Linked DNA regions of Ovis aries. The protein of the gene in region 2 purifies or fractionates together with the protein of the main gene of each other region. This does not show direct contact. Links are inferred from orthologs where the notes say so. Each region holds a gene or a part of one and is shown on either strand. Other genes may lie near its edges.

The links. The genes of interacting proteins can lie anywhere in the genome.
Region 1: the proteins of AURKA (region 2) and PPP6R2 purify together in Homo sapiens (affinity purification with mass spectrometry; 4 studies listed by BioGRID and IntAct, counting the BioPlex papers as one, with this or other methods). This does not show direct contact. The link is inferred for Ovis aries from reciprocal best matches to the Homo sapiens genes AURKA and PPP6R2.

Annotation. Positions count from the first base shown.
Region 1 is NC_056056.1:225,612,844-225,616,590, forward strand, and holds the start of PPP6R2 (serine/threonine-protein phosphatase 6 regulatory subunit 2), read left to right. Parts: upstream 1-1,232; 5' UTR 1,233-1,444; intron 1,445-2,232; exon of another isoform or gene 2,233-3,336; intron 3,337-3,747. UniProt on the Homo sapiens protein: Regulatory subunit of protein phosphatase 6 (PP6). May function as a scaffolding PP6 subunit. Involved in the PP6-mediated dephosphorylation of NFKBIE opposing its degradation in response to TNF-alpha.
Region 2 is NC_056066.1:59,223,827-59,227,473, reverse strand, and holds part of AURKA (aurora kinase A), read right to left. Parts: intron 2,576-3,647; coding exon 2,427-2,575; intron 323-2,426; coding exon 148-322; intron 12-147; coding exon 1-11. UniProt on the Homo sapiens protein: Mitotic serine/threonine kinase that contributes to the regulation of cell cycle progression.

The DNA.
Region 1 (3,747 bases), on a different chromosome or scaffold from region 2:
CTATGACAAGCTGGCCTCCCCCAAGTATGGCAGGGTAGCAGCTGGGAGCCCGCTGGGAGGTTGCTGCTGTGAATTTGGTGGCAGAGACTGTTCTAAGACTAGGACTTCGGGGAGAGGGGCTCCAGTTAGAAGTGGAGGGACTGGAACTCAGGGTGGGTGGGAGAGGAGAGGGGTCCTAGCTGACCGCAGAAGAGCATCATGATCAGGGTGAGGGTTGCCGGCTCTCACAGGAGGACAACCAGCCCGAGCATCGCAAGCGCCGGCCCCTATTCTGAAACTGCCTAGTGCACCTCCAGCCTCCGAGGTGGGGGCGGGGGCGGCCTTCGCTTGCAGGGCTTATAATCTATTCTCGGTTGTAAGATTGACGCTTTCAACCCCCATTTCCTGAACGATCACCCTACAGAGCTTGCCAGAGGTCCACCATGCGGTCTACCTGGGAAAGATGTTCTGGAGGAGCTGTCTAGGCAAATGTGGGACCCCGGGGAAGCGGCGCTTGACGCCAGCGGAGCGGCCCTGGAGCAAACCTTCTCTGGCAACCTCTCCAGCACCCTCTGCTGACAAGGCTCGGCATAGCTCAGGGATCAGATTCATTTTGAAGTGAAAAGAAACGCTCCTTCGAAGGAAAGCTATGACAAACCTAGACAACATACTAAAAAACAGAGAAATCACTTTACTGACAAAGGTCTGTCTAGTCAAAGCTATGGTTTTTCCAGTAGTCATGTATGAGTGCGAGAGTTGGACTATAAAGAAGGCTGAGGGCCAAAGAATTGATGCTTTTGAACTCTGGTGTTGGAGAAGACTCTTGAGAGTCCTTGGGACTGCCAGGAGATCCAACCAGTCCATCCTAAAGGAGATCAGTCCTGGGTGTTCATTGGAAGGACTGATGTTGAGGCTGAAACTCCAATACTTTGGTCACCTGATGCGAAGAGCCGACTTATTGGCAAAGACCCTGATGCTGGGAAAGATTGAAGGCAGGAGGAGAAAGGGGACGACAGAGGAAGAGATGTTTACCTAGAGGGAGCAGAGGAAGGGGAAGCCACGCCCCCACTTCTAGAGGCCCCTCCGACCCCGCGGCCCCGCCCACCACGCGCGGCCCCGCCCACCACGCGCGGCCCCGCCCACCACGCGCGGCCCCGCCCACACCCGCCACACCCACACGGAGGCCTCGCCCCACCCCCAGGCGAGGCCCCGCCCCCGGCGTGCGCGCGGCCGGCCGCCGCCACCGCCATTTTGGAGCGGCCAGCGCGCGGCCCGCGGCCTGAGCCGGTCCTGAGGCGCCGGCGGGCCGCGCCGGGTCTGTGGGTGCAGTGTCTGTGGGCGCCTCGCCCGGCCGGGCCCATGTGCGCGCGGCCTGCCGCGGGCCGCCCGGGCTTCGCCTCCGCCCGGTCCCTGGCCTCCACCCGGGCCTCCGAGGAGCCGCCGCGACGCCCGGCCCGCGGGGCAGGTGAGTGCGGCCGCGGCTGAGGGCCGGCGGGGCCCGCGCGCCGGTGTCCCCATGGCACCGCCGCCGTGAGGCCCGGCCTGTCCGCGCCCCGCGGCCGGGGTCCGCCGGGCCCGCGCCCGCCGCTGGCGCCCGCCCCGTCCGCGTCCTCTCCACGTGCCCGCCGCCGCCTGCCGTGCCGCCGGCGCCCGCCCCCCAGCGCGCTGAGCCCCAGGGCCGCAGTCCTCGCCCGCCGGCGCGCCCCCCGGCGCCGCCCGCCGTCAGCGAGCCCCGGAGACTCTCCCCCTCGTCAGGCGGTCGCGCGTGTCTGCCCTTCCTTCCCCGGCGCCGCCGGGGCCCGCGCAGTCCGCGCCCCGCTTGCCGGCCGGGCGCCCCGTCAGTGCCCCGGGGCTGAGTCCCGCTCAGGGCCCGCCCCGCCTGCCCCGCGCGGCCGCGGGGCGCTCCCCTCGCCGGAGCCCCCTGTCGTCTGCGCCCTTCCCCCCTCACTGTGCCCTTCCCGTTTCTCCAGTCGCCTGTCTCTCCGCCCGTCATCTGCTGACTCCTTCATGGCAACCCACTCTGGTGCTCTTGCCTGGAGACTCCCGTGGACGGAGGAGCCTGGTGGGCTACAGTCCACGGGTCGCAAAGAGTCGGACACGACGGAGCGACTTCTCTCTCACTGCCACGTTTCTTCCCCACCACCTCTCCTTCACACCTGGGGCGGCCCTTATGCACTTTCCAGGCCCCGTGAATGTCCTCGCACCATCACTGTGAGGTCCATACAACCCCCCTTCCACTTTGTGTCTTCACAGCCTAACGCCCTGCATCGTCCGCAGACTTGTCCCTGACTGCTCCCACCTCGCTGCTGACCCCCTGGCCTGTCGCCACCAGCTCGCCCAGTCTGTGGCTTCCACGTAGCTCCTGCGTTCCGCGCTGCGCCGCCCCGTTCTCTCCCTGTGTCCACCTGCCTTGTCCATAGGGCCTTCTCCAGCCTGTTACTCGCTTATCCACCTGTCATCTCCCCCCTTCCCTTGTGTCTCAGCTGGTAAAGAATCCACCTGCAGTGCAGGAGCCCTGGGCTCGATCCCTGGGGACAAGCCCCTGGAGAAGGGGAGCGCTGCCCCCTCCAGTATTCTGGCCTGGAGAATCCCGTGGAATGTACAGAGCTGGACGCGGCTGAGTGGCTGTCACTCGCTCGCCTCCTGCCGTGGCCTCTTCCTGCCCTGCCCTTGGCTTCTCAGGGCCTGGGTTCTCACTGGCACTCTCAGCTGTTCACCTCTTCTTCGTGTCCCTTCCGTTTTGGCTTCTCTAATGTCTTTGGAAGGAACGATGCTGAAGCTGAAGCTCCAGTACTTTGGCCACCTCATGTGAAGAGTTGACTCATGGGAAAAGACTCTGATGCTGGGAGGGATTGGGGGCAGGAGGAGAAGGGGACGACCGAGGATGAGATGGCTGGATGGCATCCCTGACTCGATGGACAAGAGTTTGGGTGAACTCCGGGAGTTGGTGATGGACAGGGAGGCCTGGTGTGCTGCAGTTCATGGGGTCGCAAAGAGTCGGACACGACTGAGTGACTGAACTGAATGTCAGCTAAACCCTGGAAGGCAAGAAGAGCCTTCTGGACTGAGGGGGCAGCACATGCAAAGATCCTGGACCTCCTCCAGGAACCTGGATAAGACTGCTGTGTGGCCAGGGTAAAGGGGAGAGACACTCAGAGCCTTGGTTAAAACGTTGGCCTTCCAGTCGTCTCTTGTTTGTAGTCTGTTGACTCTGGGTTGTGAGGGGACGCAGGCTGCAGGTTGAGTTGGGGAGTGCCATCGACATGTGAATACCAGAGGGAGAGACAAGATGTTGGGAGGAGTGCAGTTCCTTTGTGTGCCTTTTTCGTTGTTAAAGCCATCCTTCAAAATTGAAAGGTAACAATTCCCGATTCTGATTTCTATTTTTTAGAGTAATTTTGCAGGTCCTTCAGCATCATATAAATGGAGCCAGAAAGCATACTACACAGTCTTTCACGTCTCTGTGGGTCTGTTTGGCTGTGCCAGGTCTTGGTTGAGGTGTGCGAGATCTTCTGTTGGCAGCGTGCAAACTCAGCTGTGGCCCATGTGCTCCAGTTCCCTGACCAGGGACGGGGCCTAGGCTGCCCGCATTGGGGGTGCGGAGTCTTAGCCATTGGACCACCAGAGAAATCTCTGTGTCTGTCTTCTTTTGCTCAGTATATTTTTGAAATATAATGATTTTGATTCTTTTATCTGTAGTTGTGCTTTTCATTTGAATAATATTCCTTTGTGTGAAAATAGTTTTCTTATTGATATTTGGGTTGGTTT
Region 2 (3,647 bases):
GTGAATTCCACCTGGATGAGTACACAATAAGTGACAAGAGTCACAACGTGGCTCAGAGAGAACACGAGAAACACTCAGATCATAGCCTCCTGTCAAGGCTGATAAGGAATTCTAACAACGACGGGTCCCTCTGTAGTGAGGCCTTACCCGTGATATTCTTCTGTAGGTCTCCTGGTATGTGTCTGCCTCAAAAGGAGGCTTCCCGACGAGGAACTCATAGCAAAGCACCCCAAGGCTCCAGAGGTCCACTTTCTCGTCGTGCATCCGGCCCTCAATCATCTCAGGGGGCAGGTAGTCCAGCGTGCCGCAGAGGGTGGTCCTCCTGAAAATACAGGCAGGCTCGGGTTGACGTGCTACTGTTTCTATTATCATGACAGCTGCTCAAAGGCACCAACCATTCCACTAACCCTGAGCGCTTTTCCTAGGCTAGCTCCTGTGCTACAAAGCAGGTGCTATTATAAACCCATTTTTAGATGGGGTGCTGTACCAGACCTCACAGTTAGCAATCATGTGGCACCCCAAATATGTCTAATTCCAGAACTTCCTTAAATGATATATAAGATTTAAAGTATCACCACTATAAAACTGTGTGAACAACTAGGGAAATTTGAACATGGACTAAATAGTAGATATTAACAAGACTAGGTTTCTTAGGTGTGATAATGGCTGTGATTATACAGGACAATGTCCTTAGCCTACTTACTGAAGCACTCAAAGGATGAAGCATGCTGTCTGTCACTTATTTTTTGAAGGTTAACCAAAACGTAGACACACTCAATGTGGTAAAATGTTAACAACTATTGGGAGTATAGGCACTGGATAGGCAGGTGATCAATTCAGCGTGTCTGTTTTTATAACAGAGGTTGGAAACAGACATCAAAACAGGAGCAAAGGCTAGGCAGATTTTGCTGCCTTGTACCAGTTACTCTTTGGTGCCACTGGTGCCTGGCAAGTGCACAAATGTTCGCTCACCTAAAGGAGCTGCCACCGCAGACTCCTAGCCTCTCACCACTGGATTCGGGAGAAGGCCCAGATCAAGAGCCTTGGAAGACAGCACAGTAACCTGAGAGCTCTTACAGCGAACCAGCTATGGGAAGCCGGGCCAAGTGACCAACATTTTATATGATATCCTCTTTAGAAAAGGATCAGCTAGCTTTCCTGTCGTGAGGACACCACTGGGCGGGCCAAGGTCCAGCTTAGCCCTGTGATCATACAGCCATTGCTGTTTGCCTCACCAGAGGCCAACAGCTCCCACTTGTGACAACCAGATTTTTTTCTCCCCTAAACAAAAAGAGACTGCAACAGCAGATTCAGTGCCTTGCTGGAAACAATTAGGAGTGATCTATATCAAAAACAAATCTCACACTCAACAGCATCCATTTGGGACTATACAGTTTTTTAAACTGGCTTTAAAGTAATCTGGTTACAATTTTTTAAAGACCTACCCCAAAGCTGACAAACTCTTAGCAGTAGATGTATGCTTTTAATTGCCCTACTTCACACATGGTTTCAAAAGCTCATTGAAACCCAACCTAAAAACAGGAGAAAATGTTTTAGCTCTGTTTGCAAAGTTCACTTAAATTGTTTCATAGGTTGGTCTCTCTGCTTTAAGAGGAGATAGGAAAGGACTGCTCTGTTGACAGAAGCAGACCAAAGAATCTTTACCCACCAGTCTGAAAGCTCCATCCAAACTAGTTTGGTTCCTTTAAGCTCCCAGTTCTAGAGCTCTGCAGGTGCTGCCCTCAGAACTCATAGAACTCGTGTCTCCTGGCCCTGGAGGCAGTGGAGTTTGCCTCCCCGTCAGTCAGGTGTTGTTCCCCCTCTACACACCGCATTTCATTCTGTGATACACTTGTCATATCTTTTACCTATTTGTCCCCTTCACTGGCCTCTAAGGATAGTATGCATCTTTAACCCCAGGTTGCTGCTGCTGTTAAGTTGCTTCAGTCGTGTCCGACTCTGTGCAACCCTATAGATGGCAGCCCACCAGCATTCTCCATCCCTGGGATTCTCCAGGCAAGAATACTGGAGTGGCTTGCCATTTCCTTCTCCAATGCATGAAAGTGAAAAGTCAAAGCGAAGTCGCTCAGTCAGGTCTGACTCTTAGCGACCTCATGGACTGCAGCCTACCAGGCTCCTCTGTCCATGGGATTTTCCAGGCAAGAGTACTGGAGTGGGGTGCCATTGCCTTCTCCGTAACCCCAGGATAAACATCCACAAATGGCTGCATAGTAAAAATGTTCTTGAAGACACTAGTTTCCTGCCAGGCCTAAATTACTCCAAAGCATGTATGTCAGTTACCTGACCCAACCGCCCACAACATCTATGCTTACATTTACTTACAGTAAATATTTTACTATTTAGCTCATTAGCCCCTAGGCTTTTACTAAACCAAACAAACAAGTTCCATCTCTGAAGTTATATACCTGGAGGATGGGGCATGTACCGACCACCCAAAATCGGCGATCTTAAGCTCTCCAGCTGATCCAAGGAGCAGGTTCTCTGGCTTAATGTCTCTGTGAATAACTCTCTTTGAATGACAGTAAGACAAGGCATTTGCCAATTCTGTGATATACTATTAAAACAAAAAGTATTGGAAATCCGTTTTAGATTTATATAACACAATTTTAGACATCTCTTCAGAAAGGAAACTCAACATAGATTTTAACATGTTCTGTAGATTTGAAAGCAAAAACTAGAGACAGTGGATGACTCTAGAAGAAAACAAACCAATTTAGTGTTCAGTGTGAAGTACAAGTGACTCTGTGCTAGGTTATCTGCTCACACAGCAGGTGCGACGCCGAAAGACAGCAGAACACCAAGGTACCACTACATCCCCACCTGGCAATTTATGGCCCAGAAGCCATGAATTATGACAATATTGAAAAACTGGTACAAATGAGGGAGTCGGGCCTGTAAACAATTTTTAAAATTCTTAAAAAAGAAAAACTTTATAGTCCATCCCCATTTTTAAAACTAAGGCAAAATTACAACAAAAGGGTTTGTTTGAAGCTATAAACTTAAGCAAGCCCAGGATTGGCTTTAACATGTAAATGAGAATTGTTTTCTAATATATTGAATATATTTAGTTCTGACTGACGTTTGAGAAGCGTTGGTTTCTCAAAAAGTAATTCTAAATAGGACTGAACATTATGTTATGCCAAAAAGGTTTACCAAATGAAGGGGTACAAACCAGATGTTATTGTCAGAAAGGACATTTTTCATTGCTTTCAGCCAAAAGGCAGAGACCAAAATTTAGACCATAAACTTAAATAAACCATAAATAAACTGAAAGCAAAGGTAAAGAAAGCTCGTCTCTTGCACCAAAGTGGGTGATGCTCGAAGAGGATACGGTAGGATTCCAGATGACAATGGGCTGCCCCTGCTCAAACCCGGCAGGAACCAGCGCTCTCTGCATCCACCCCCTCCACATACCCACATTAAGATTATGGATTATGTGTAAAGGTCCCTAACACTTCTCCAGAACTAGTTTTAATTAATCAGGAAAGAAAAACAGGTGTGTGTGTGTGTGTGTGTGTGTGCGCACGCACACGCGCACGTATAAACTACTAGGGAATCTAGAAAGAACCAATCTTTTACTTCCTTTCAAACAGCTATCCGTTTACACCAAAGTAAACTCCACTAGA